7 linked regions of the Danio rerio genome follow. The protein of the gene in region 1 binds, or shares a complex with, the protein of each later gene. Links are inferred from orthologs where the notes say so. Each region holds a gene or a part of one and is shown in the gene's direction. Other genes may lie near its edges. The genes, in order: taf7, taf8, taf11, taf5, taf6, taf12 and tbp.

Region 1 (3,810 bases):
TATATATATATATATATATATATATATATATATATATATATATATATATATATATATATATATATGTTTTATTTATTTTATTTATTTAATAAACATTCAACAGTACATTAAAGAAAATGGAAAAACAAAAAGAACACATTTTTGGGAAAAAAACAACAACAAAAACAAACAGAAGTTTAATTTTCGCGTTAATTTCTCTGCTTTTGTTTTAGATGCTGGTATGCACACTAGATGGAGATCTGTACCCCCCTCTAGAGGAGCCTACAGGCACTACTGACTCCAAAAGCAAAAAGAAAGACAAGGACAAAGACAAGAAATTTGTTTGGAACCACGGCAGTAAGCAGCTTCCTCTCCTCTACTGAAATATCATCTTAATTGGTTTCAAATGAATGTAGAGACAGGCTGTCTGTACTAAATGATCCAACCCTTTTAACATCCAATTACATCTGTCTCCATTCAGTTACACTTCCTCTAAAGAACACAAGAAAGAGGCGGTTCAGGAAGACAGCGAAGAAGAAGGTAACCTCATTTGCTTTTCCTTAACTATGAGGTTTTTATTTCTGATGATTCAGCAATTCTTTATCAGTCCTAGATGGACTACAATTGTTTGCTCTTGCGGGAAAAGAGAATCGAGTTAATGGTAAAAGCTAAGATTTACATATAAATAAAGCATTCCATCTTCATTTGCCATAAAAGTATGCAGTAAAGGCTGCTCTTCTGATTGAAATGACAGCAGGCCAGTTAGCGGCTGGTTCTTCTCTCTGACTCCTGAATAAATCACCACTGCATTCCAGCTTGCTATTGACTTGGCTTCTTTTTTTAATCGCTAATGTGTTCTCTGGCCTACATCCAACCTCTACTGTTAGTACTGTGTGTGCATTTGAATGCATGCGTGCATTTTTTTTTTTTTACAACGTGTTCCTTGGGGGTAAATTCTAACCTGATTTATCCTGCAGTACATCGAGTCTCCTGATGTGGAAAAAGAGGTGAAGAGACTCTTGAGCACAGATGCAGAAGCCGTCAGCGTTCGTATCCTTTAATTCTTGCTTTTGTTTCCCTCGCTGTCATGTTTTGTTGAAACTGTGTCACAACAAATCTACATGAAAATGTCATTACTAATGGATTGAGCTTTCGTTATACTTGGCCTCGCCACCAGGTGGCAGACTTGCTCACAAGTTAAGCAGAGCGATTGGGCAAGAAGCAGTCAGTTAAGCTCAGTATTACAGGAAAAGGTGGCATGAGTCACATATAAATTTGTGTAGCTCAGCAGCAGTGATACAACCACAGCAAAATGTCCTGGTGCCAAAACTGAGAGGATGAAAAGATAACAGGATTATTGAAATGAACCTTGACCCTGCGGTCAGGATGGGAGGTGATTGCTGAAGATGAATCTAAAGAACCTGACAACAGCTTATCTCTTTCCAACCTGGAGTCTTCACCCGGAACCTCTGGACACAAGGGTCATGGCTCTTCAGGTAAATGTTGTGAATACAAATCTTACTGCTTTCAGGGTTCCCATGGGTAAGGGATCTTTATTGTAGGAAAATTGAGGGTCAGGGAATTTATATATTTATATGTCAAAGTCAAGGAATATCAGGGATATTTGTTTGTCAATTTTACTTTTAAAATGTAAGTTTTCTATAACATTTTAGAAATATTATCATTTTACTATTCATGCCATTCGTTTTTTTACTTCCAGTTTATTCCTTTCATGCTCATCAACTGGCTGTCACTAAAGTCAAATGCAGTCACTAGCAGTGTTGGGGTATAGCATTAAAAGTAACAGGAGTAATGTAATAATCTTACTTTTCTAAGTAACGAGTAAAGTAAGGCAATACTTAATAAAATAAAGTAATAATATTTGAGTTACTTCTTTGAAAAATGTTGTGCAAGTTACTTTTTAGTTGAATTATTTAGCTTTTAAAAAGTAAATTGCTAAATTAAAATTGAGATGAGAGAATTTGTTCATTAATTTAAATCTTTGAAAAGAAATTGAGTTGTACTTGAAAATGGCTTGTACTTTACTAATAAGACAAAAAGCACAAAAGCAGCATACACATTGCTTTAAAATGTCATTCATCTGTATATATGACATGTAGAGCTTTCGGCTCAGGAAGTTCTCAGAAGATAACATTATCCTACATTATTCGTTTTCAGATGTGTTTTTTTAAAGGTAAATTAAGTTGTAGGTTATACAGTGTGTTGTTAATTGCAGCGCTTCTCTATTAAAAAAAAAAAAAGAAGGAAGAAAAAACCCTGCAAGTTCTGAAAAAGATCAAGCCTCATCCTGGTAAGGAAAAAAAGCAAGGCAAAATTAACTTAAAGCATTACTTACGATAAAATGTAACTAAGTAACACAACTAGTTACTTTTAAGGAGAGTAACTCAATATTGTAATGCATTACTTTCCAAAGTAGCTTCCCCCAATACTGGTCACCAGACTGTACCTTTTAAGTAAGACTTAACTAAGAATTAACTTTAATCATTTTTTTTAAACTAAGAAATTTTACCATTCATGTCATTTCATTTTCATCTCCAAATGTATTCCTTTTATGCTCATCAACTGGCAGTCACTGAAGTCAGATGCAATCACCAGACTGTACCTGTTAACTAAAACACTAAGAGTTTTTTTTTTACTTAATGTAAAAAAAAATACTATGGAATTTTACAATTTCTGCATCTTTTTTTTTTTACCTATAAATTATTCTGCTTTTATGCTCTTTACTTTATTTTGGAAGGGCACTTTATATCCAAGAGAAAGAAGGGCATGTGCACAGCGCAGGTTGAGCCCTATCTGTGTATGCGCCTGGTCACTTAAGTCAGATGCAGTCACCAGACTGTACCTGTTAACTAAGACTAAGACCTTTTTTGCTTAATTTATTTTAAGAATTTCTTTTTTTAAACTAAAGAATTTTAACATTCCTGCAGCCTCATTTTTTACCTCCAACATATTCCTTTCATGCTCATCAACTGGCAGTCACTTAAGTCAGATACAGCCACCAGACTGTACCTATTAACTAAGCCACACATGTCAGGATAAATAAAGTAAAACAATTGGTTTCAAAAGGACAGCTTAAAAGACTGGGTGTTAAAAAGGAGACAAAAGAAAAGCTAAATCAAAACTGTGTAAAACATTTGGCCACCTATCAAATATACTAGAGGGAGCACATCACAGACACACTCATAAGCTATGTTTCCATCCAACTGTACATTTTGGATATCCGCAAAAAAAGGGTTGATGTAAACGGCAAGATAAAAAGTTAACTGAGTAAAATAAACGTTTTATTCAAAAAGAGATGATGTGCATATTCTACGATGGAAACACTTTTTAAACAAATTTCAGGATGCTCATTAAAAAAAGTCATGTGATTTTGTTATAAGAGATCACGTGATGATAAAAATGTTTGTGAATCGACAAATCAAAACGCACATTTGAAATGATGTTTTAGTCATTCTAAAATGCCTTAACCTTTTCTGTATTAATGTTATTATATTATTGATTACGTTGATATATTTTAAGTAATTATTTACATTATTATATTAATTAAATCAGGAGTGTCTATGCTCCACGTCTCACTCCTTCAAACGCCACCACATGTTAATTGCGTGTCAGCATTGTTTTCGGAGGTGCAAGTCATTTATTAAATAAGTAAAAGATTGACGCAGCATCTCCTACCACAGCAAATTCCGTCTTCACTGTTGATATTTGGCACCAGTTAATCAGGAAGTCATGATTTTGGATGGAATTGCTGCTTTATTCGCACATCTGTTATGCGATATTCCAGTTTTCTGCATACATTTCATTCTTTGG
Region 2 (4,384 bases), on another chromosome or scaffold:
CATAAAATCAGCTGCTGTTAACACCGCAGAATTAGTTATTATTGTTATATATTTATTTTTCAAAATCTAGATTATAGAATATTAATATACCCCTAGATAAATAGTTGCAAAGCATTTTTCACAATACACACACAACTATATTTACACTTCTTTTTATTTCCTACATCTAAAGCAATCGCTGCAATAAAATGAATTATTTGAATTACTGTTATGATTTCCAATCTTTAGAAAATAGAATGACACAATATTTATTTATTTAAATCAATAAATATAAATTTACTACAGAAATATTGTCATTTGAGATTGCTTCACAATGATACATTTTGATTGGCAAATCTGACCTTTAACACATTAAGCTAAACCTTCTGCCCCATATGCAGAATGCAGATCTACCGGATATACTAAGACACAATAAAGGAGACCAATTTTGCTTCATAATAAATAGGCGTAATGCATTTCTGTGTCCACAGAATGTGCAGCTACAGCTCAAATTAAGCTACAGATCATTTATTTTTTTATGTCATGCTGCAAAAAAAAAAATGACCCAAAAAATGTGCATCTCTTTAAATGCAAATGAGCTATTTCCAGAAGAAAGTGGGTCCTTTACAGTCTTTCTCAGATATTCTCAAGACAAGACATTGTTTTGGTTTTATCATGTCTACTGCACTTATGTGACATTTTAGTTCATCATCATGATGAAAGTTTATTATCCTCATCCGTTTTAAAGCCTTGTTGGTCTGTCTCGCTTTGTCCACTCATTTCAAAGCATTTGTGGTATCAGCCTTTGCTAAGCAACCATCATCTGTGCTCTCCATGGAAAATTTTTATTTATTTATAATTTTTTAACATGAAAAGATTAAAAGATAATTGGGCCTGACTCAGCATGAATGCTGTTTTTCAGCAGATTCCTGCTCCGCAGAACATAAAAACACACAGACACCCATTAACATGTCAAATTATATGAAAAATACATAAAATAATATAATAATTTGGTAGCATTAAGGTCTGAGGTGTTTGTGTCTACTCCCACGATTCAAATATTATAATAAAACTAGGATTAAAACTGATTTACCTAGCTTTTGTACCTCGTTTTCAGGTCAGAACTTAAAAATTAAATCTTCTGTGTCAGTTTACCGTTTTACTAAAGAATCATGTAGAAAGCAAGGATGTGAACATTTTGTTATCTAAAAGACTTGACATTTCTGTAAGATGTTCGACATTTAACTATTAACATTAACAGCTAGTTCGTGTGTGATGGTTCTTTTATTCAAATCATTAAAATAAAAATAAAGATAACATATTTAGAAGTCTTTAGAATAACTTAATAAAAGTTTTATGAGCATGCTACAATACCGTATTGACGATGACTTCAAAAAATGCAAATTTCTACTTTTGCTTTCATTTTTAGGAAATGGCTATGCAACAGTTATTTCTTTGTTTGACTTTTATTTTGGAATTGCACAGAAAACAACAACCTTCCGGTCGCCCTGTTGGAAATGTTGATAGGGTTGCCATTTTCGCCCAATATAAAAACACCAAATACAGTTTTTAGCAAACGCAGAACGCACAATGAGTTTATTTGCGAATGCTAAACATCAGAGGAAAAACCACTAGAGTTCTAAAATGGCAGACTCGGTAATGATGGGGAGCGGATCTTTAAACTCCGGAAGCGTACGTTAAATATCTCCTTTCATTAACGCTAACGTTACTCTTTCCTTCACCCTGCTGGCTCAGCCAAACAATACTAACTTTAGTTTTTTGATCAAAATTAGACTTAAAGGCACTTGTGTAATATATTTTAAAGCAGACACCGTATCGTATGTAAACACGTCTGTATATATATATATATATATATATATATATATATATATATATATATATATATATATATATATATATATATATATATCAATTATATAGTGAGCTGTTGCAGATCAGTGTCGTCAAACAGTGTTTTATATAACTGGTAAACGTCTTGTTAAAGCCGAAAATCACAAACTTTACTGTACTGCAACTGTACAAACTCAATTTTCTCCCAGCAGGAGTTTTCTATGAAACAATGCTAATGTCACTCATAATGACAAGTTATTGTGCATGGAGAATTGGGTTAGCATAATATATTAACAGTAAACTAGATTATTGACAGGAATGGGCAGTTTTACATACCATAATTTAATACCACACTCTTAATGCAATCCACAGTGGAATAGTAATCTTAACCAGATTCTCAGATGCAAAAATGAATGCAATAGATGCATTTTTGCCTCAGTAATTATAAGCACAGCCTTACAAAATCCCTAACTTTTTGTTAAGGATCCATCCATAAAAAATAAAAAAACATTAACAAAGATTGAGGTAAAGGTGGCTTTATATTCACACATTCAGACTTTGTCCTTAATAATATAAGTTCAGAAACATGTTGTTTGCAAATTCTAAATAGGGAAATCCTATTAGCAGCAGTGATAATGTTGTTTTGAAGTCATTACCTAGCTAAAATTTTACCCAATACTGTTATGTTATCGTTGGCCATGGAATTAATTTAAACAGGATTGGTAAAATACGATGTCTTCTATTTGCTGGACAAATGGTAGATTTAGTAGGTAAAGCTTTTAATCTGATTCAGTTTGACTCAATTGAGTTGAATCAAGTAATTCAGATCTTCAAGATTTGGTTCCTTTAAATGACCTAATAAATCCCTGACCAATGTTTTAATATAGGTTGATCCCTTACACTTAATAATCAAAGTAGCATGGAAAACAATATAGCGACTCACAAGTTGTCACTTTATGAATGTGCCATATAAAACCAACTTAACTAAGCAGAAATTAACTTAAAATCACATACGATTCCACAATGTGAGTTATAGTAATTTCCAGTAAAGTAAATCTACCTCAAAACGTTTTGATTTTCATAAAAACTTAATTACATGACTAACTTTTCCATTATTTTTTCAAAGTTTTATATTCATGAGTCATAACTAGGGCCAGACGGAATCTGCAGATGTTTTTTGCTATTTCTGCTGAGATTTTTGGTAAAAATCTGCGGATTTCTGCAGAATTATTTTGGGAGTATCCAGCGGAGTATCAAAACTAAAACCTTAATATATGAAACAAAAAGTAATAAATTACTGAATAAAAACTGAATAAATTTAGATTTACACATTTACTCAAGTAAATAAACAGAATTAATGATGGGCTAAAAATCTGCAGAAATTCTGCGGAAAATCTGCGCGCGCAGATTTCGTGTGGGCCTAGTCATTACCACTAAATACAATTCCTCTTTCTTCAACACTAATCTTAGAATAAACTTTGAAACCTTTTAAAAACTCAGAAGCTTACAGTATAGGAACCATACTAATTGTAAAACATTTCAAATAAATGCAGTTCATTTAGCCCTAACTTAATCTCTTTTATTGCATTTTCAAAGAAATGCCTTGCTGTATTAAATGCAGATATGTTTTAAAACTTCCTGATCTGTAAAACCTTCTTATCATCTTTTATTTTATTATTTCCAGCGCTCGGGGAGCAGTAAGACCTGCACCAGTCCCACAGAGAACTATCAGCTGGCTCGGAGACGCACGCTGCAAGTGGTGGTCAGTGCTCTGCTGACCGAGTGTGGCTTTGATAGCGCTGAGAAAGCTGTTGTGGAGACACTCACTGAGATGATGCAGAGCTGTGAGTCCTTCATTTACTTTAAGCAGCTCATCTTGACAAAATTTAAAAGCTTATGCATACCAATATCACAAATCATCGCGTTTTACTTTTTACGTTTGTGTGTATTTGTATGTAATTTATGGTTCTATGTTCTAATTTAACCACAGTTTGGGAACCAAAATTGAGCTATAGTTGAATAAAAGCTCACAAAACAATACAATTACTTTACACTTTTCTGTACATTAGAATGTGTCTATTTAAAAATATATTAATCTGAGCAAATAAATTATCACTGAAATGTCAATAAGACTAATATTGTATACACTAAAAAAGTTTTTTTTTTTTGTCAGGCATACAGTATTTAGAAAAGTGTAGCTCCCAAAAATTTTAATTATTGTCATTTTAAATCTTTTTACTTGTTCACTATTTATTTAGATTACTAGTTTACTTATTTGTCTGCTAAGTTATAGTTTATTAATAGGTCATAAATGGATAAATACATGTTTTTGTGTGTCTAGTATGACCATTTATTCTTAAATATATTTTAATAAGTAGAGCTCATGTTTGCTCCGGTTTCCCCCCACAGTCCAACGACATGTGCTGTAGGTGAATTGGGTACTTTTTGATTTTTAAGAGTCTTGTTGTCTTTTGATAGATATAACAGAAGTTGGACGTTGCGCAAAGGCAAACTGTGAGCACACAGCCAGAAGCACCCCTACTCTGTCTGATGT
Region 3 (4,515 bases), on another chromosome or scaffold:
TAATAAATAATATCACTAATTCTGAGCCATATATCCCTTCAAGCTTTATGTGGAGTATCCTGATATTAGCACAAGAAGAATCTGTGACTGTTAATCGGGGATTTGTGGAATAATTACAGCCCTTTTCAGGAGTTTCTTTAAACTGAATCACTATAATGATGTGCACTTTTTAATATTATTGCATATCTTTTTCTACTCAAGATAATAATACTGTAATTATGTTTATTTTAGTGTTTTATTTACTTTTGTTTCATCTATATTTTATTGTTAATTTTAAACTGATTCGTCTGTTTGAATGTGATGTCCATTTACTGATTTATTTATTATTCATTCATTCTTTTATGTTCCTTTGCCTTAGTCACTTTATTCATCAGGGGTCGCCACAGCGGAATGAACCACCAATGATTCCAGCATATGTTTTACACAACGGATGCCTTTACAGCTGCAACCCATCACTGGAAATTATCCATACACACTCATTCACACACATTTTTTAATAAAAATAACCCTGGGTATAATTACTGTTTACACAATATTGTATACATTATATCAGTTCCCCTATAGCGCATGTGTTTGGACTGTGGGGGAAACCGGAGCACCCGGAGGAAACCCACACCAACACGGGGAGAACATGCAAACTCCACACAGAAACACCAACTGACCCAGCCGAGACTCAAACCAGAGACCTTTTTGCTGTGAGGCCACAGTTCGTATGAATTATGCGTATTATTATTGTTATTAATAGTGGCTTGAAAATTAGGTTTCAAGTAGTCAAAATCATTTTAATCAATTTTAAAATAAAAGAAACAATTTGACTTATGTAACCTGACCATGCTAAAATAATCAGTGCAAATATCTATTATTTGCATTGTATATATTAAATTATATTTATTATTAAAATGAAACAAATAAGTAATTAATATTTGATTAAAATAAATAAATAAATGGGCAATATATTCAAACAAACAAATCAGTGAAAAATAAAAAAATACATTTACTCAAGTTAATAAAATAAAAAAGTAAACAAATACTCCTTATGGACATTTTAGGTACATATCGTTTAGTTGAAATGGGATAATTTGAAATAACATCATTAATTAGCCTATTATTATTATTATTATTTAAATATAAGCATAAAATTTTAACTATATGCAAGGGGTACATTTAAATAATTAAATGTGATTTAATCATTTGTGAATATCTATCAAATAAATATATAATTATGAATAATTAAAGGGTTTCTGCAATTAAACTAAAAGCTCGAGTGAATTTTGATGGATTAAATCAGTTATTAGTCCCTGTTTGTTTGTTTGTTTGTTTGTTTGTTTGTTTGTTTGTTTGTTTGTTTGTTTGTTTGTTTGTTTGTTTGTAACTGTAAGCACAGTGTTTATGTTTCAACTATTTATAATGTTTAAAGTGGCTGACAATAATAAATATTCGTATTAATAGGAATTAATCTGCCTTGTTTTTGAACTGTGCAGAGCTGCTTCATTGGGCCTACTACACTTCTGCATTTCAGTACTGCTCCTTATGGTGGTTCTTGAAGAGACATTTTTTCTGAGGTGGTCCTTGATGAAAGAAATCTGAGAACCGCTGCTTTAATGTATAGTATTGTGCGCCACCAAGTGTTTGACGTGGCTGTGCACGCTTGTGCGGACTCTTATTTTGTAGTTTAACCGGATATGCTCGTGTTTACTTTGTCGGTCTGAGGCGCTCGTCAGAGAACACTCGTTGGATTTTTGTGTTTTTAAACATTATTTTCAACGCGGTTGTCGGTCTTAGGTATGTTTTGATTTTTTTTATGAATTCACGGTTTTATTTTGTCTAACAAGTGTTAAATCCGGCCCCAAATACACATAGCATCGTAAGTTACGATGATCGTTAAGTTACCGTTTTCACCTAAAGTAAACTATCATTACATTGAAGATGACCGAGTGTAACGTTAATACAGCTAATGCACATTAGATAGAGCCCTGTTTAATCGCGTTGTTTACGATCAATAACAATGATATATGGGGACTTAATGGATATTTAGAGGTAAAGTAGGTTTTATATCCGCACACTGGTGCATTTAGCAGTCTCTATATTGTTTAGCATGTTACTCTGAATATTGGATCTGAATTAGCATGCAAGTATGACTTGTAAACAACATTAACACTGTCTAATTGACTGTGAACAATGCTGTACTTTGATAGTCATTTGCTGCTAATATCATTTCCCTATTTACAATACTTTTCTGACATTATATTGAGGAGAATGTCTGAATATCAGAATATACAACCAACTTCACCTCTATATGTTTTATAGAAGACACAGACTAAATTATAAACTGTAATGACAGTATTGACATTGTAAGCAACAGTTCACCCTAAAATTACAATTCTGTCATCATTTACTCTTGCTTTACTTGTTTTAAACCTTTATGAGTTTCTTTCTTCTGTTGAACACAAAAGAAGATGTTTTGAAGAATGCTAGAAGCCGGTAACCGCTGACTTCTGTAGGGTTTGTTTTTCCTATTATAAGTCAATGGTTGCCTGTTTACACATTTTTTCCCCTTAAATGTTCCTTAAATCTTTTTCTTAATTTTGTAAACCAACAACAAATTGCTCTCTCTTTTCAAAGATTGTATATTATATAATTAAATATTAAAATCAAATAAATAATCATTTGATTAGAATAATTAATTAAATACATGTGCATTAAAATTATATATGTATATATATATATATATATATATATATATATATATATATATATATAAACATTTTTTAAAAATTGTAATGAATGGTTGCTCTCTTTTTTTGTAATATGACAATTTGTTCTACATAATTGCTTTTTGTAATCTTTGTAATTTTTTTTTACATTCAATAGTATTCATCCAGAGTAATTCTTACAAAAAAAAAAAAATATATATATATATATATATATATATATATATATTGCAATCATGAAACACAAGCAAGGCTTCTTGAGATATTTTAGATATTTGGACTAGAAACAGACACTCTGAGTTAGAACAGTGTTATTGCAGTGCTCAGTTGTAATTGGATCAGGGACTCCCGCTCATGTGTTGCAGATAAACACACTACAGCAGTGTCCATTATTTCCACATTCCCTTTCCCTGATCCATCAGCTGAAATCATGGCAGACCCGGCCCGTGTGAAACCTGAAGCGGGCACATCGGTGGACAGACCCAAACCGGGCGAGGGGTCCAGTGAGGGTCCGGAGGGCAGCAGTAAGAGCTCTGACCCTGCTGCGGGACAGACTGCTGTAAAAGAGGAGGGCAAGACGCTCAGTCAGGTCTCTGCCTCTTCATTCTGCATCCTCAATGAATTCAGTTTCATTCTCATGCAAATAAATCAACCATGCATCACTGTGTTCCTCAGAGGCCTGCTGAAGATGCTGGTGATGAAGAGGAGGAGGGATCTTCATCTCTGCATCCTCCTCCTGCCAAAAAGCTGAAAGTGGAGCCGCACGACAAGAAGAAGGAGAAACGCCACAAAGTGGATGAAGACGAAATCCAGAAGATGCAGTGAGCTGTGTGTGTGTGTGTGTGTGTGTGTGTGTGTTGTGTGTGTGTGTGTGTAGCTGTAAACTGATAATAACACTAATAGACGTGTTTGTGTTTCAGAGTTTTAGTATCATCGTTCTCTGAAGAGCAGCTGAACCGCTATGAGATGTACAGGCGCTCGGCGTTCCCTAAGGCAGCTATTAAAAGAGTGAGTCTTTAAATTAAAAACAGGTCTTAAAAAGAATTCAGAGTTGATCAATCTGTTTAGAGAAAGTATTAAAGTCTTTTACAGCTGGTAAATATTGTGTCTGTTTGGATTATTCAGTGTGTGGCTGTCTGCCTAAGTTTAATTTGTGAATATTGGGCAACATGGTGTTGCAGTGGGTAGCATAATCGCCTCACAGTAAGAAGGTCACTGGTTTGAGTCTTAGCTGGGTCAGTTGGTGTTTCTGTGTGGAGTTTGCATGTTCTCCCCGTGTTGGCGTGGGTTTCCTCCAGGTGCTCCAGTCCAAACACATGCGCTATAGGGGAACTGATTGTAGTGTATGCGTGTGTGTGTGTGTGAATGAGTGTGTATGGATGTTTCCCAGTGATGGGTTGCTGAATACATATGCTGAAAAAGTTGGCGGTTCATTCCGCTGTGGCGAGCCCTGATTAATAAAGGGACAAAGCTGAAAAGAAAATGGCAGCATTGTTATTCCTGCAAGAAGGTCTCTGGTTTGAGTCTCGGCTGGTTCAGTTGGGGCTTCTGTGTGGAGTTTGCATGTTCTCCCGGCATTCGTGTGGGTTTTCTTCAGGTGCTCCGGTTTCCCCCACAGTCCAAACACACGCGCTATAGGGGAATTGGGTGGGCTAAATTGTATGTAATGTGAATGAGTGTGTAAGAGTGTTTCCCAGATATGGGTTGCAGCTGGAAGGGCATCCGCTGCGTAAAACATATGCTGGATAAGTTGTCGGTTCATTCCACTGTGGCGACCCCGGATTAATAAAGAGACTAAGCTGAA
Region 4 (4,466 bases), on another chromosome or scaffold:
GGGTATAGCTGAAAAAAGGTCCACTTTTTGAGAAAAAAAGAACCACACCTTTCACCAGGCTGTCTATGGGCCTGTAAATGGTAGGAAAAAGGCCATTCAAAACCAAACAAATGCTGTCTCCTTTTGAAAATATATATGTATGTCTATATGTAGCAATTCAATATACATCTATCATATATTCAACAATTTAACTAAAAACACATTCAAGCCTCTCTTCCCTTGTTTTGTTCATTGTATATGATGAACGTTTAACAATCAAAAATATAACAAAATCATGCAGTGAAGACATTCAAATAACAACAGAAAGACAGAATAATAATAATAATATAACATTTAAGTAAAATTTAAATAAATTGAATAAAAAACATCCATAATTACAAAAAAGGAGTTTAGTTTTTAAAGTATATACAAAATTCTGAGAGATCACTGTTATTGCTGGATACATTTTATGTATAATTTTATTCCACAAACTTTATTAGTGACACACATTTGTTTTTTGTTTTTTTATATGTATATTTTTTATATCTTTATATATATATATATATATATATATATATATATATATATATATATATATATATATATATATATATATATATATATATATATTATTGCACATGCTGAATATTTAAAAATAAAACCATAACACAAATTTGCAATTATGACATCCAAATCATAACAGAAAACAAGACAAAAATCAAATAAAATGAAAGAGAATTTCATTCAAAAACAAAACGTCAGATTTATATCTTTGTATTAGTATATCATTCTTTTTCTTTTTGGCTTCGTCCCTTTATTAATCTGGGGTCGCGACAGCGTAATGAACCACTAAATTAACCAGCATATGTTTTAAGCAGCGGATGCCCTTCCAGCTGCAACCCATCACTGGGAAACACCCATACATTCTCATTCATACACATACACTAAGGACAATTTAGCTTACCCAATTCACCTGTACTGCAGGTCTTTGGACTTGTGGGGGAAACCGGAGCACCCGGAGAACATGCAAACTGAATGCCACACAGAAATGCCAACTGACCCAGCTGAGGATCGAACCAGCGACCTTCTTGCTGTGAGGTGAGCATGCTACCGACTGCACCACCGTGTCGCACTATTAGAATGATGTAATGTTGTTATTACTATTATTTTGTAGGGTGAAACGGTGGCTCAGTGGTTAGCACTGTCGCCTCACAGCAAGAAGGTCCCTGGTTAGAGTCCAGGCTGGGTCAGTTGGCGTTTCTATGTGGAGTTTGCTTGTTCTCCCCGTGTTTGTGTGGGTTTACTCCAGGTATTCCCCCCCCCCACAGTTCAAAGACATGCGGTAGTTGAATTGATTTGCCGTAGTGTATGTGTGTGAATGGGTGTGTATGGGTATTTCCCAGTACTTGGTTGCAGCTGGAAGGGCATCCGCTGTGTAAAACATATGCTGGATAAGTTGGCAGTTCATTCCGCTGTTGTGACCCTTGATGAATAGACTAAGCCGAAGGAAAATGGATATTATTTTGTTTATTATATGCTGCTTAGATATATAATGATGTATATGTTTAATGAATTAAAGTTCACATGAAAAAAAAATAAAAATAAAACGTCAGATTTACGTCAGACGTACCACATGCGTCATGACGTAATCACATCCAGCGCCGGGGGAAAAATGGCGGCTGTGCAGGATGGACCGATGGAGGTGGACGCAGAGAAAGAGACAAAACCCGAAATCCTCAGCGATGGGACGGCAAATCCGTCGGGGAACACCGGCGGCGGGACTCTGTCCTCATCGCCACTCACCGCAGCCCCGGCCGCCGGAGCCCCGAAGCCGGAGGACCAGCAAACTCTGCTCGCGGTGCTGCAGTTCCTGAAGCGAAGTAAACTGGCGGAATCGGTGGAGATCCTGCGGCGGGAGGCTGGTTTAGCAGAGGAGCTGGAGGACTCGCATACCGACGCCGGTGCAGGAGGGAAGGACGGAGACGCAGGAGATACAAAAACTCTGCTCAGCCGTGTGTCCATCGCCGGTGCAGCCGCCCCGCAGAGCACACTCACCCCCATACCTGCGAAGAGTGAGTGACAGCCGCAGACACACACTGATGCTGGGGCATCACTTTTATTAAACCCACTGAATGATTAAATGCACTAGAACAGAGTCATCAACAGTAGTTATTTCTAGAAGATGTAAAACAGTTCTTTTGTAGCACCCTCACCACCTGATGAGGGACAGTAATGTTATTGAAACACTGCTTCTGTATTGTTTTTTTTTTCTTTGAGTAAACTCAGCTGTATACTTTCACAGCATTGTAACACAGCATATGAAAACAACTTTCTTTAATTCATTCATTTTATTTTCGGCTTAGTCCCTTCGTTAATCAGGGGTCGCCACAGCGGAATGAACTGTCAACTTATCCAGCATATGTTTTACGCAGCGTATGCCCTTTCAGCTGCAACCCATCACTGGGAAATGAAAACATCTTCACAAACAATATTATATACATCTCAAAAACTTTCTGAATATTTACAGACAATTTTCCTGCACAAAATTGTTGCACATTTAATATACAGTCATTACGGAATTCTTCATAAACAAACTATTCACAGTTTAATTGTCATATACCATATACACAGTCATATAACCGACTCGCATACATATTTCACTTTTTACATATACATCATAACCCACTTTACATGAACTTTAAACATTGTAACCAGCAATGAGAGTTAAAACATCACTTTGTAGCTACTCTTTAACTATACCCCTTTTATTAGCTGTTATGTTGATGCATATAATGACATTTAAATGATCCCAGTAGCTGTTAAAATTAGAGTTTATATACACTATCGAGTTGTTTTAATAGATGACACTTGTTTCTTATCACTGACACACACACACACACACATATATATGTATATATATATATATATATATATATATATATATGTATATATATATATGTATATATATATATGTATATATATATATATATATGTATATATATATATATATATATATATATATATATATATATATATATATATACATATATATACATATATATATATATATGTATGTATATATATATATATATGTATGTATATATATATATATATATATATATATATATATATATATATGTATATATATATATATATATATATATATATATATATATATATATATATATATATATATATATATATATATATATATATATATATATATATATAAAACCTTAATAATTAATTTTTTTTTCATTTATTTATTTATTTTTTTAGGTTCATCTTAGGTCAGACATTAAAATATACATAGTAATGATACATATAGATATATACACTGATACACTTCACCAAACAAGAAATTATCAGGAAAACATAATTATGCTCTAAATAAGTTTATAAATAAAAGGTAAAATACCATATTTACACACAAAGATATACAAACATAAGAAAACATAAATAAAAAAATTAATAAACAATACAAAGAAAGGTAAAAGGTAAAAAGGCGATTAAGATATAGGTGTCTCCTTTAAAAAAAATGCATAAAAGGGCTCTAGACTTTCTGGAACTGTTCTGGCTTTTGTTTTATTGTAAATTGAATCTTTTCCATCTGAAGAGCATGTAGGAAATCCAAAACCCATTGCCGATAAGGGGGAGCTGCTGACTTCCAATTCATAAGAATAAGTCGTCTAGCCAGTAAGGTTGCAAAGGCTACGCTATCGGCCTGTAATGAATTTAATTCAGCATATTCTGGCAGGATTCCGAACAGCGCTGTTAAGGGGTTTGGGTCTATTGACAATGAAAAAACAGCAGAAAAACACCTGAAGATTTTCCCCCAAAAATCAGACTGTTTGAAACACGACCAGAAAGTATGTAACAGTGTGGCTGATTCGGTTGTACAGCGAAGGCAAGTTGGGTCAAGATCAGGGAAAATTTTATTCAGTTTTGTTCTAGACCAGTGTATTCTGTGCACAACTTTAAATTGTATGAGAGTATGCCCAGCGTTTATTGATGATGAATGTATTCTTGCAAGAATAAGATCACAAATATTTTCAGCGATTGTTAAATTCAGTTCCTCCTCTCAAAAAGCCCTCAGTACATGTGTTGTGGGGGACTGTTTTGTGTTGATAATAGTAAAGATTTAGAAATGACCCCTTTTGAAGAGGTATGAATGTCGAGTAAATCATCAAGTATACTTTTATTTGGCACAATGGGAAAATTAGAAACTGCTTATGGATAAAGTGCCGTGTCACTGACATGTATTTAACACATAAGTTAAAAATGAGGGACGATATGTTATTGAAACACTGAGCTGCTGCTTTACGTCAGAGTCTGTGGATAGTCTGTGATGTAAATCGTTGCATTCCATTGATTTACAACATAGATCAACTATTAAACATTTACTTTCTCTTTTCTTTTACGTAGAAAGAAATGTACACATTTAGAAAAAGAAATTAACTTTATTATTATTTATTATTATTTTTTTC
Region 5 (3,414 bases), on another chromosome or scaffold:
TGTTTAAAGACAGAACTTAGTCAAAATGATTTCTAAGTTACTTGGTTTACAGTACGTTGATATCACTACAATATTAAAAGATCGGCTGTAAATGCTGCTCTCTGTGTGTAGACACGTGAGCACTGTAAGCAAACTTTTGCCGACCGTCGTGTTGAATTTTCGCCACATTTTGTGACAGGATTGTCTACACACACATGGCTTTCTGACCTACTGAGTGCATCTCTGCAGAGAAAGCAGAGGCTTTTTTTCTCCAATACGACGTGCGGTATCAAACATTTCACCGTCATTAAGCACACTGTCTTTCTCCCCTGCGTGCGTGCGTGTGCGCGCGTGTGTGTGTGTGTGTTGACTGCCCCATATCTAGGGCCACACTGAATCTGCGCATGCAGAGTTCCGCAGATTTTCCACAGAATTCCGCAGATTTTTAGCCCATCGTTGATTCTGTTTATTTACATTTATTTAAGTAAATGTGTGAAAATCTAAATTTATTCAGTTTTTTATTAATTACAGTAATATTATTGACTAATATGAAATTGTTCTTTTAGTAGATATATAGTGACTTGCTTTGTTTACCAAATAAAGTGGATCTAATTGAATTTGCAATTCAAACATTAAATAAAAGTTTAAAAGGTATTACTTTTTATTTTACATCTAAGGTTTTAGTTATAATACTCCCAAAATAATTTCACAGAAATCTGCAGATTTTTACCAAAATTGTTCGCAGAAATAGCAAAAAACATCCGCAGATTCAATCTGGCCCTGCTCATATCCAAGGCTGGCCTTTTCTGTGACACCGTCTGTGAATTCCCCCAGAAATTCAAGGTGGTGAGAGAGCAGTCTAATGCGATGTGTAATGTCATCTATCGGCAGGACGGTAAGCCTGCCTGTGCCTCTGCCGAAGCGGGCACGTCAAGTACCACGGAAGCTGGCAGCCCTCCTTGCCTAGGGTGCCATTAAGTCTGGTAACAGACACCTAAGCGTACCTGAGACCTGAGACAATTCAGAGAAAAGGGAATTTGCTCTTTCCCCGCTGGAGGGCCGGGCCCCATTTTCAACTGGACCCAAAAAAAAATTGTGATATATTTGACATTATTTGATTTCAGGCTAAATTGTCCATGGTGTCTGACTTTTGAAGGCACTTATGTGGAAAAACTGTAAGCATTAAAAGCATTAAGTTTCTAAATTGAGAAATTTGATGTCTTTTTCTGACTATGTAGGTGATAAAGACTTTGATCATCCCCCGACTGTTTGTAGAGGGTGCCCGTATTAAAGCAGTGATGGATGGGCCAGTGGTATCCAATATTGATAAGATTGGAGCTGATCATGTCCAGAGTCTATTACTGGTAAGTACCTTACAACAGCCTCTTAATCGTTGATAAGCAGTTGTTGTGGTGTTTATCTTATGCTTTTAAGTTTTTTTACATGGTCATTTATACACTGCTAAAAAAAATAAAGGGAACACTTCAACAACACAATGGAACTCCAAGTCAATCTCACTTCCGGGAAATCAAACTGCCAATTTAGGAAGCAACAGTGATTAACAATCAATTTTGCATGCTGTGGTGCAAATGGAATAGAAAACAGGTGGAAATCATAGGCAATTAGCTAGACACCCCCCAATAAAGAAGTGGTTCTGCAGGTGGTGACCACAGACCACTTCTCCGTTCCTATACTTTCTGGCTGATGTTTTGGTCACTTTTGACTGCTGGTGGTGCTTTCACTCTAGTGGAAGCATGAGACGGATCTTAGGCCTGAACTACAAAACCAAATGTAAAACAATTTTAGTATCTGTTTTGCTTAAGTTGCACACTAGTGTTGCAGGAAAAGGGAAATAGAAAGTTGACGCTATTTACGGGAGTTGTAGTCCATAGCGAAATGTATTGTGGGTAGTGTAGTTTGACTCGCATGCTGGATGATGTGAGCTCGCTCTGTGCTGTGCAGCTAAAGCAGAGGAAGAAAGTTTTATTTGGCTTTGTTTTATGTTCATTAAGTTATTTCACCTGGGAGCTGTTTGCACTGTAAACCTGACAACACGAAAATAAGTAAAAGAAGGGCATGCATTGATTACTTTTGTTCGTCTCATCCTTTACACGAGCTGTTACTCTACCGCTGGACATCACTGAAGCAGAGAAAGTAACACTAGTTTGATCTTGTAATAATATCATTATAACTATATTGTATAAATATTATTATAACTAGGCCTACAACAACCTGACAATCAAAAACCAAATGACATATCTCAGGCGATTATCTTGTGAGTGCGCCAGACATGAATGACATTCCTCATAGAGCTTGAGAAGCATACAATATTGTAGGATCTTTATTCTTTCTAAAAAAAAAGACTTGCAGGTTAAAGAAACAGCATAGTAGAAGGCTGCCACGGTTAAAAAGTTTTTTATTTTTATTTTAAGTGTTTTTGTATAGAGATATGTGTAACTAGATAGAATAGACAGAGATAGATTAATCTCTGCAGCAGCTGACGAAGAGCTGTGCTGTGCCATTATATATATAAATAAAAGTTCTGTCTGGTTCTCGAATCTGATTGGCTGATAGCAGTGATATATTTAATATCAGCACCAGTACAGCCTCTTTACACTTTGTGTATTACTCCGCCCACATGCAGCCAGCAAAAAGCAGACACTTCAGATCAAAGTTTAAAGGATGCTTGCTCAGCTGTTTAACTGTCAGCCTATGATTTCAATCCAACGCAGAAGAAAAGAGTTCCTCAAAAAAAAGTTTTTGAGACTTTCCATGTTTGATTTTGTTTTTATATACACAATTATGCCGTCAAACTGTTGTATAAACGCAATATCACACTCGTAGCAGTGTGATATAGATGTATATCGGCACTAGTATATATATATATATGATTGTATATATAAAATGCATTAAAAAAATGTAATTCCTTCTGGTCTCTGTGTTTAGAAACATTGTGCAAGTGTGGTTGCTAAAACTAGGCCGGTCCCAGATCTGGTGGAGCAATACAAAGCAGATTATGGTTATCTGGGCACTATGCTATGTTCACATGTGGTGAAGGCCCGTGCACAGGCTGCCTTTCAGGCCCAAACTGTTAACAGAACCACACTTACTATCACACAGGTGAGTAAATTTTAAATAAAATATTTGTCATACTTGTTAAAATCATACACATCAAACCTAAATTCTCTCCGTCTTGTATTTAGCCACGTCCGACTTTGACAATGTCTCAGAGTGGATTGTCAACATCAGGTGTTTCACGTACACCCAGCATAATTAAAGTACCCAGTTCACTTACCCTCATGTCTACTCGACCTGGAACACCCACTCAGCCATCACCCCCAGCAACAAAGTATATTGTTATGGCAACAAGTGCAGGGGCTGCATCCACACAGCAGGTAAGAGTTTTAAAGTAATTTGTGTTATATGTAATATAAC
Region 6 (4,412 bases), on another chromosome or scaffold:
CACACACATACACAATGGACAATTTAGCTTACCCAATTCACCTGTACCACATGTCTTTGGACTTGTGGGGGAACCCGCCGGAGCACCCATGCGAACATGGGGAGAACATGCAAACTCCACACAGAAATGCCAACTGACTCACCCAAGGCTTAAACTAGCGACTTTCTAGCTGTGAGGCGACAGCGCTACCCACTTAAAATCTTAAAATCATATGTCACAAATATAAATGTACATTCTATTTAAATAAGTGCATATAGATAATATTTGAATTATATTGTTGTAGGAAAGCTGTATGGAGATGCTGAATACGTGGACGAAAGGCATCGACACCGCTTTGAGGTTTGCAATAAAGATCTACTCTAAAATACCGTAAATGTTTTGTTTTCTATTTATTCATGTTAGTAATCTTTGCATTTTTTTCCAGGTGAATCCAGAACTGAAGCACCACTTCGAGGATAGAGGTTTTCGATTTGTGGGTCAGGACCTAGAGGGGGAGCGGATGGAGATCATTGAACTTGAAGGTCAGTGATCGTCTAGTATTTGAAAAAGCGGTCAGTCAGTGCTCATTTCAACTGATTTCTTCTGTCCAAACAGATCACACGTATTTTGTTGGAGTGCAGTACCATCCAGAATTCACTTCTCGCCCGATCAAACCCTCACCACCGTATTTCGGCCTTCTGCTGGCAGCGTCTGGGAAACTGCAAAACTACCTCCAGAAAGGATGCAGGCTCTCACCTCGGTTTGTTGCTTCTTAAACTCATATCATCCTAAATTAATTTAAAGTGGAGACATGCAGTATACTGTGTAAGTTGTCTTATTATCTTGTTTTCCTTTTCTCTCTCAGAGACGCATACAGTGACCGAAGCGGCACTAGTTCACCAGACTCGGAAATCTCTGAATTCAAATTCCCATCGCTTTCTTAAAAAGGAAAAACCCACCTAATCATAAAAACACATGAATGACGTTTTATGATATGAATGTATGAATTTAAATAAATGGATAACAATGCTAATGTGTTGGTTTTAAAATGTGAACAAGTGTGTTGTGTACAGTGGTATAGAAGTGATAATTTATAGTTATTCATTGTACATTTTCATTTAATTTAATTTATTTAATTAATTAAAATTTTAGAAATAATGTGTTTTAATAATTTTAATTTGTATATTAAAGTAATTTTTTATTATACAGAACTAGCTGAAATATTATATATTAAAAGTTTTATGAAATATTTAACATTTATTGTATTTCGAGTATCATAACTAGTATTACTTGGATGGTTTTATCAGGAGTTGACATTAATAACAATGAGCTGTGTTTAAAATGGCTCACTGAACTTGTCTATGCAAATACATATGTAAATTGATTGTTTTTACAAACTAGGGGATTTTTATATATAGAGAGAGAGCACTCTACCACTTATAACTATTACTTTACCAAATAAAATAACAATTTGGAAGAGATCATTTTCCAGAAGGCTTCATCAACTTCTCTGTGCTTTTATTTTGTAAGACTTTTGAGATCTCGCGATACTTCGGTTGAGCTCCGTTCGTCAGAAGAGGCGCTTGTAGAAGGAAAAACAACTTGGAAGGGCTTGTGCATATTTCCAGACCTTAAACGTCGAAGATGGAAAGATAATACAGAATTATTTGCATCAGGTACTGCAACGATTAACAATTAAACGGAATTACATCAAACAAAAGGAAAGCATCGCGAGACGTGTATTGGCACGAATGTTTTTCTCGCTAATGTTAGCTGCTAATATGTTAAGCTACAGTGTGATGATTAAAAACAACAACTATGAAGAAATTCAGACTAAAAACCATACTTATTTGGTAATTTGCATTATATCACATTAATATCAGCATAACACTTACATTATCAATTAGTTTAAGTGAATTATGTCATAACACACTGGCGAAGCAAAAAGGCTAACGCTAGCATATACAGCAAATGACAGTTCGGTGATGTTTATTTCTATCGAGCTAAAAGTTCTTCACTTCGTTGATATAACTTACTTAAAACAGCCGTTTAATATCCTTAATGTATTTATGCATTGATTAAACTCAGTTGAACTCTTAATATCTTTTTTCTGCAGCTGATTTAAAACTCCCACTAGTTCTGAAGAGGCTTGTGACATTTGACATCTCTTGATTAGCATAGTATGACCCAGTATCCAGCACAGACCAGTCGCTCGAATTTCTACACGGTTGTGAAAGCAGAAGCCTCTTCAACACCGCCGCTGTCCAGCAGCATGGCCAACAGCACGGTCGCTCCGGGGAAACTGCCCGGCACCCCCGGACCAGCAGGCAGACTGAGCCCAGAAGGACCTCAGGTGGGTCAGACTGTACAGCTATTATAAGACTGAGGTAACGTTGGTTTTATTTTCGGATATTTGTTCAGTAAGACGGTCCCTATATTGTTTACTACGAATATTCAGTCTGTACTTGCATCAAAGTATGACTACAAAAGAATATTAGCACTATTTAATTGACTGTGAACAATGTTGTACTTTGATAGTCATTGGCTACTAATAAGATTTCTACTATTAGAATTTGCAAAGAATACTTTTCTGAAATTATATTATTGAGAAAGTTTGAATGTGCGAACCAACTTTTACTTTCACACGAACATGCATAAAAACATTCCTTCCTCTAAATGATCATTTATTTCATTTCTGCGGAAACCTAGAGAAGAAAGCAAATACACAGTCGAAGCTCTTCTTTAAAACTTATATTATATTATATTATATTATATTATATATGTAAAAAGAACCTAGATTAAAAAATGAAACAAAACAGTATCTAATTTAAATCTTAACATTTAACTACATTAATATAGTTTAAAATTAATAACAATTTAAATTGAATATAAATTTAATTTTTAAATATAACATTTTTCCCCATTATTAATGTAAAATCATATTGGCTTATTTAACCTTGTCTCAAAGCAAAATAAAAAGTAGCAACTATAATAAACTGTGTAACGTTAAATAAAATGTTTTTAAAAACTATTTGTTTGACTATTTTTGTCAAAACATTTTTGCTTCATTCAATCTATCATGATTTGCACTTCTACTCTTCCGTAGCTTTGGATGTAGCAGTATACCTATCATGATTGAAAATTTTGTGTTGATGATTACTAATCAAGCAAATAATTTTAAAAATATTTAGATTTTTAACAGTTTAGAATAATTTTATTTATTTATATACATATATACTTTTTATTTTGCTTTGAAACATGATTAAATATAGGCCAGTATGGCTTTAAAACTATGGAAAATAATATAAAAATTAGAATTAAATTTAAATTCCATTTTAATTATATTTATATTTAAATTATATTAATGTGTGGTAAATGTTAAGATTCAAATTGTATTTTTTTAGTTAAAATTTTGAGTCTTGGTCCGTTTTATATTAAAATAAAAAATCATATAAAACCAAGCAATCATAATGTTATATGATATTATAATATAACAATATATGTGGGAAAGAAGATCTTTGGTTCTCTGTTAGTTTGGTCTTCACAGAAATAAAACAAGCTGTCATTTACAGGTAAAATGTATATTAAGCATGTTAATTTGTTTATGCACTTAATTTCCCTCATTTAAAAAAAAAAAACCTGTTTTCAACACCTGAAAGTAGATCAAATAACAAAGATCAGACAAATAATCAATATTTGCGATAGACCTATATGTGAAAATAGACTTTTTTAAGCCAATTTAAAAATATATTGACATTTATGTATTTTTATTGTCCTCCCTACAGGTGCTCAGTAAGAAGAAGCTGCAGGACCTTGTTCGAGAAATTGACCCTAATGAGCAACTTGATGAGGATGTGGAAGAAGTACGTGTGTCTTATTATTGATGATGTTCAAAAGTGTTCTCACACATTCATTGTTGACTAGTCAGTTTGTTGCCCAAATTACCATTTTAAACACACTTGAATAATAAATAGTTGAGTTTGTGAGAAACAAATGGGATTTTAATTGCAATGATATATAAAACACTTAGGGAAATAATCAGTTGATGTACAGTTGCAATCAGAATTATTATCCCCCCTGTTGAATTTTGTTTTTCTTTTTTAAATATTTCTCAAATTATGTTTAACAGAGCAAGGACATTTACACAGTATGTCTGATAATATTATTTTCTTTTGGAGAAAGTCTTATTTGTTTTATTTCGGCAAGAGTAAAAGTAGTTTTAATTTTTAAACACCATTTTAAGGTCAAAATTATTAGCCCCTTTAAGCTATATATTTATAGTATACAGAACAACCCATCATTATAGAACAACCTGCCTAATTACTCTAACCTGCCTAGTTAACTTAAATAATCTAGTTAGGCCTTTAAATGTCACTAAGCTCTATAGAAGTATCTTGAAAAATATCTAGTAAAATATTATTTACTGACATCAT
Region 7 (3,810 bases), on another chromosome or scaffold:
AAAGCAGTTTATAGATAGATAGATAGATAGATAGATAGATAGATAGATAGATAGATAGATAGATAGATAGATAGATAGATAGATTAAAGTAGTTTATAAATAGATAGATAGATAGATAGATAGATAGATAGATAGATAGATAGATAGATAGATAGATAGATAGATAGATAGATAGATAGATAGATAGATAGATTAAAGTAGTTTATAGATAGATAGATAGATAGATAGATAGATAGATAGATAGATAGATAGATAGATAGATAGATAGATAGATAGATAGATAGATAGATTAAAGTAGTTTATAGATAGATAGATAGATAGATAGATAGATAGATAGATAGATAGATAGATAGATAGATAGATAGATAGATAGATAGATAGATAGATTAAAGCAGTTTATAGATAGATAGATAGATAGATAGATAGATAGATAGATAGATAGATAGATAGATAGATAGATAGATAGATAGATAGATAGATAGATTAAAGCAGTTTATAGATAGATAGATAGATAGATAGATAGATAGATAGATAGATAGATAGATAGATAGATAGATAGATAGATAGATAGATAGATAGATAGATAGATAGATAGATAGATAGCTAGATAGATAGATTAAAGCAGTTTATAGATAGATAGATAGATAGATAGATAGATAGATAGATAGATAGATAGATAGATAGATAGATAGATATATAGATAGATAGATAGATAGATAGATAGATAGATAGATAGGTAGATAGATAGATAGATAGATTAAAGTAGTTTATAAATAGATAGATAGATAGATAGATAGATAGGTAGATAGATAGATAGATTAAAGTAGTTTATAAATAGATAGATAGATAGATAGATAGATTGATAGATAGATAGATAGATAGATAGATAGATAGATAGATAGATAGATAGATAGATTGATAGATTGATAGATAGATAGATAGATAGATAGATAGATAGATAGATAGATAGATAGATAGATAGATAGATAGATAGATAGATAGATAGAGATCTATCTATCTATTTTGAAAAAAGGATAGATAGATAGTTTTGAGGTCACAAAGTTAGATCTATTGTTAAGTCAATGACAGTCTTTTGCAATAAAAGTCTATGGGACAGTTGTTGCTAGGGTGCAGTATCTGGTAGTTAGGGTGTGGCTAGAAAGTTAAAAGCTCATCAGTTATTGGCAGTTTGGTAGTCTGAGTTAAATGAGCTCAGCCATTAGTCTGTAGGACAGTCTGATGCAGAGTTATGACCTCACAAAGTTTGATCCCATGTTAAGTCAATGAGAGTCTTTTGAATGGAAGTCTATGGGACAGTTTCTAGGGTCCAAAAGTGGTTGCTAGGGCGTGGCTAGAAAGTTTAAAGGTGATCAGTCATTGGCAGTTTGATAGTCTGAGTTAAATGAGCCCAGTTAGAGTTCTGTGCGACAGTCTGACGCAGAGTTATGAGGTCACAAAGTTTGGTCCAATGTTAAGTCTATGGGATTTTTCCGACGGTCCCGGGACGTTTTTCGGAAAATCGAAAGTCGGATCAGTCGGAAAAGATATGGCATACCGAGTCAGAATAGTTTGGAGGTCTGGTGTGAGTTTGGTGGTCATAGCTCGAAAGCTCTAGGAGGAGATAGATTTTGAATTTTAGTCTCAGAAGAAGAAGAATAATATATAAAAAAAATAATAAGTTTAAATAGGATTTCAGTAGTCTGGCTTGTTTCTCAAGCCAGCCTAATAATAATAATAATAAGTTTAATAGGATAACAGTAGTCTGGCTTGCTACACAAGCCAGCCTAATAAATTAAATAAATTAAAATAGTCTTATTTTCCCTTATACCAGGAGTTAAAACATAAACGGGGAATCCGTGAATCAGACATATGCTTGTGCCTTTTTGGCATTTTTCACCTAGCGTTCCATGACTTTGCTTCATGTCCATTACTATATGCACCATATATTCGGTAGGCTCAGTAATCTCTGTGTCATGATTAAAGACGCCAACCACAACTTAATGCATTCAACAAAATCAAACCATATACAGAGTAAAACAAAATAACAAAGAAAATCTACATCATTAACAAAGTTTTATATTATTTCAAGTTTCATTACAATAACAAACTTTGTACATCCATTGATAACTCTTTCAGCGTTTTGCTGCCGTCATCATGAGAATACGAGAACCCAGAACAACAGCGCTTATCTTCAGCTCGGGGAAGATGGTGTGCACAGGAGCCAAAAGGTATGAATGTCACCTGCACACTTGCTGTTGTGTCTTTCTACATTCTTGATGAACAAACAGCAGTATGTGAGTTTACCTTTCTTGTGTGAACTTCCTGCCACAGTGAGGAACAGTCTCGATTGGCAGCTAGGAAATATGCCAGAGTGGTGCAGAAGTTGGGTTTCCCTGCCAAATTCTTAGACTTCAAAATCCAGAACATGGTGGGGAGCTGCGATGTCAAGTTTCCCATCCGATTAGAGGGCCTGGTGCTTACCCACCAGCAGTTTAGCAGGTTTGTCTTTTGGTTTTGATTAGTTTGTTATTAATTTGTTGATTATTTAAACTACTTTGAGTTTTTCTGAATTTATTTGAATTTCTATTTCATACTACGTGATTTCAGTTTGATTTTTTTTTCTTACTTTATTTCAAGTAATTTGTAAACCTACAATGCGCATCAATTGGGGGCACAAGTTAAACTGTCAGAAAAAAACTTTTTATTTGGTTTATACATTTATTTGTTTAGTTTAGTTTTCAGTCCTACATGGCAGGTTCTATCACATTTGCAACTCCAATAGGATATATCCTACAAGGTTGACTCAAATTAAAATTAAGGCAACCTGCTTTAAGAAGTTTTGAGTCTTGTGCAGTATTTTGGGTTGAAAGTTAAGTCTACTAAAAAAAGGCTTTGCAGCAAAAAAAACTTTTTTTTTTTTTTTTTTTTTTTACAGTGTAGAATCTAGATATTGTTTTTAAACATGGAGAAACAAAGCGGAGACTCTGGTGGGAAAAGTCAGAATTAAAAACCCACATTTAAAAGCACTTTACAGAACCTTAAATACAATGCAAATTGACTACTAGTGACCCTGAATAAAATCAAACTATTATTATTATTAACATGCTTTTGTTCCTCTCACTTATTGTGATTGGACAATAGTTAGATGGGAAGAGAAGTTTGGCAGGAAAAGGGGCACTGGATAGAGAAATTTCCTCATACCAGGATTTGAACTTGGGATGCCCAAAGTGCAGTTATGCTTTGTCACTGGAGACAGAACATGTTTTAAATGTTACCAGTATTAGAAGAGAAAAATAAATGAGCTTGTTTTTAGTAGCCTGATATATGCTGCATGTCTTTATGATCATAAAAAAAGTGACATTTCTAGAAAAATAAGTGTTTGCTTCTATTATACTGAAGTATTTGCTGTGTGTGTTTGTTATTTCTTGGTGAGCACTATTTTGACTAGAAATTGGAATCTGACTGATAAATGTGATCTAAACTCTAATATACTGCTGATATTTCCTCCCCAGCTATGAACCGGAGTTATTTCCAGGGTTAATCTACAGAATGATCAAACCCAGAATCGTTCTTTTAATATTTGTTTCAGGCAAAGTCGTACTCACAGGTGAGGTCATAGTTACATTTGAAATGGCACAGATAGTACCTTGCAATAGTAGTGTGAGATTTATGAACATTGTCGTTTGTTTCCAGGTGCCAAGGTTAGAGGAGAAATCTATGAAGCATTTGAGAATATTTACCCCATCTTAAAAGGATTCAGGAAGACCTCGTAATCTCTTCTGTTTTTGCTGGTCAGTTCCTCGCTGAGCC

Evidence for each region.
Region 2: taf7 (region 1) and taf8 share a complex: the UniProt entries of both Homo sapiens proteins name them as parts of the TFIID basal transcription factor complex. The link is inferred for Danio rerio from reciprocal best matches to the Homo sapiens genes TAF7 and TAF8.
Region 3: taf7 (region 1) and taf11 share a complex: the UniProt entries of both Homo sapiens proteins name them as parts of the TFIID basal transcription factor complex. The link is inferred for Danio rerio from reciprocal best matches to the Homo sapiens genes TAF7 and TAF11.
Region 4: taf7 (region 1) and taf5 share a complex: the UniProt entries of both Homo sapiens proteins name them as parts of the TFIID basal transcription factor complex. The link is inferred for Danio rerio from reciprocal best matches to the Homo sapiens genes TAF7 and TAF5.
Region 5: taf7 (region 1) and taf6 share a complex: the UniProt entries of both Homo sapiens proteins name them as parts of the TFIID basal transcription factor complex. The link is inferred for Danio rerio from reciprocal best matches to the Homo sapiens genes TAF7 and TAF6.
Region 6: taf7 (region 1) and taf12 share a complex: the UniProt entries of both Homo sapiens proteins name them as parts of the TFIID basal transcription factor complex. The link is inferred for Danio rerio from reciprocal best matches to the Homo sapiens genes TAF7 and TAF12.
Region 7: taf7 (region 1) and tbp share a complex: the UniProt entries of both Homo sapiens proteins name them as parts of the TFIID-containing RNA polymerase II pre-initiation complex. The link is inferred for Danio rerio from reciprocal best matches to the Homo sapiens genes TAF7 and TBP.

What each region holds. Positions count from the first base shown.
Region 1 is NC_133189.1:45,457,475-45,461,284, forward strand, and holds part of taf7 (transcription initiation factor TFIID subunit 7), read left to right. Parts: intron 1-212; coding exon 213-336; intron 337-460; coding exon 461-519; intron 520-956; coding exon 957-1,029; intron 1,030-1,364; coding exon 1,365-1,475; intron 1,476-3,810. UniProt on the Homo sapiens protein: The TFIID basal transcription factor complex plays a major role in the initiation of RNA polymerase II (Pol II)-dependent transcription.
Region 2 is NC_133198.1:35,334,666-35,339,049, forward strand, and holds the start of taf8 (transcription initiation factor TFIID subunit 8), read left to right. Parts: upstream 1-1,553; 5' UTR 1,554-1,623; coding exon 1,624-1,671; intron 1,672-3,514; coding exon 3,515-3,674; intron 3,675-4,308; coding exon 4,309-4,384. UniProt on the Homo sapiens protein: The TFIID basal transcription factor complex plays a major role in the initiation of RNA polymerase II (Pol II)-dependent transcription.
Region 3 is NC_133198.1:379,547-384,061, forward strand, and holds the start of taf11 (transcription initiation factor TFIID subunit 11), read left to right. Parts: upstream 1-1,688; 5' UTR 1,689-2,037; intron 2,038-3,076; 5' UTR 3,077-3,141; coding exon 3,142-3,300; intron 3,301-3,386; coding exon 3,387-3,532; intron 3,533-3,631; coding exon 3,632-3,719; intron 3,720-4,515. UniProt on the Homo sapiens protein: The TFIID basal transcription factor complex plays a major role in the initiation of RNA polymerase II (Pol II)-dependent transcription.
Region 4 is NC_133176.1:52,726,568-52,731,033, forward strand, and holds the start of taf5 (transcription initiation factor TFIID subunit 5), read left to right. Parts: upstream 1-1,619; 5' UTR 1,620-1,651; coding exon 1,652-2,051; intron 2,052-4,466. UniProt on the Homo sapiens protein: The TFIID basal transcription factor complex plays a major role in the initiation of RNA polymerase II (Pol II)-dependent transcription.
Region 5 is NC_133180.1:59,074,160-59,077,573, forward strand, and holds part of taf6 (transcription initiation factor TFIID subunit 6), read left to right. Parts: intron 1-1,217; coding exon 1,218-1,343; intron 1,344-2,925; coding exon 2,926-3,099; intron 3,100-3,182; coding exon 3,183-3,374; intron 3,375-3,414. UniProt on the Homo sapiens protein: The TFIID basal transcription factor complex plays a major role in the initiation of RNA polymerase II (Pol II)-dependent transcription.
Region 6 is NC_133191.1:38,670,001-38,674,412, reverse strand, and holds the start of taf12 (transcription initiation factor TFIID subunit 12), read left to right. Parts: upstream 1-1,570; 5' UTR 1,571-1,655; intron 1,656-2,095; 5' UTR 2,096-2,161; coding exon 2,162-2,332; intron 2,333-3,764; coding exon 3,765-3,842; intron 3,843-4,412. Other genes in the region: ctps1b (CTP synthase 1b), read left to right, coding at 284-339, 425-521, 595-739, 845-923. UniProt on the Homo sapiens protein: The TFIID basal transcription factor complex plays a major role in the initiation of RNA polymerase II (Pol II)-dependent transcription.
Region 7 is NC_133188.1:27,589,305-27,593,114, reverse strand, and holds part of tbp (TATA-box-binding protein), read left to right. Parts: intron 1-2,136; coding exon 2,137-2,228; intron 2,229-2,331; coding exon 2,332-2,499; intron 2,500-3,512; coding exon 3,513-3,607; intron 3,608-3,693; coding exon 3,694-3,773; 3' UTR 3,774-3,810. UniProt on the Homo sapiens protein: The TFIID basal transcription factor complex plays a major role in the initiation of RNA polymerase II (Pol II)-dependent transcription.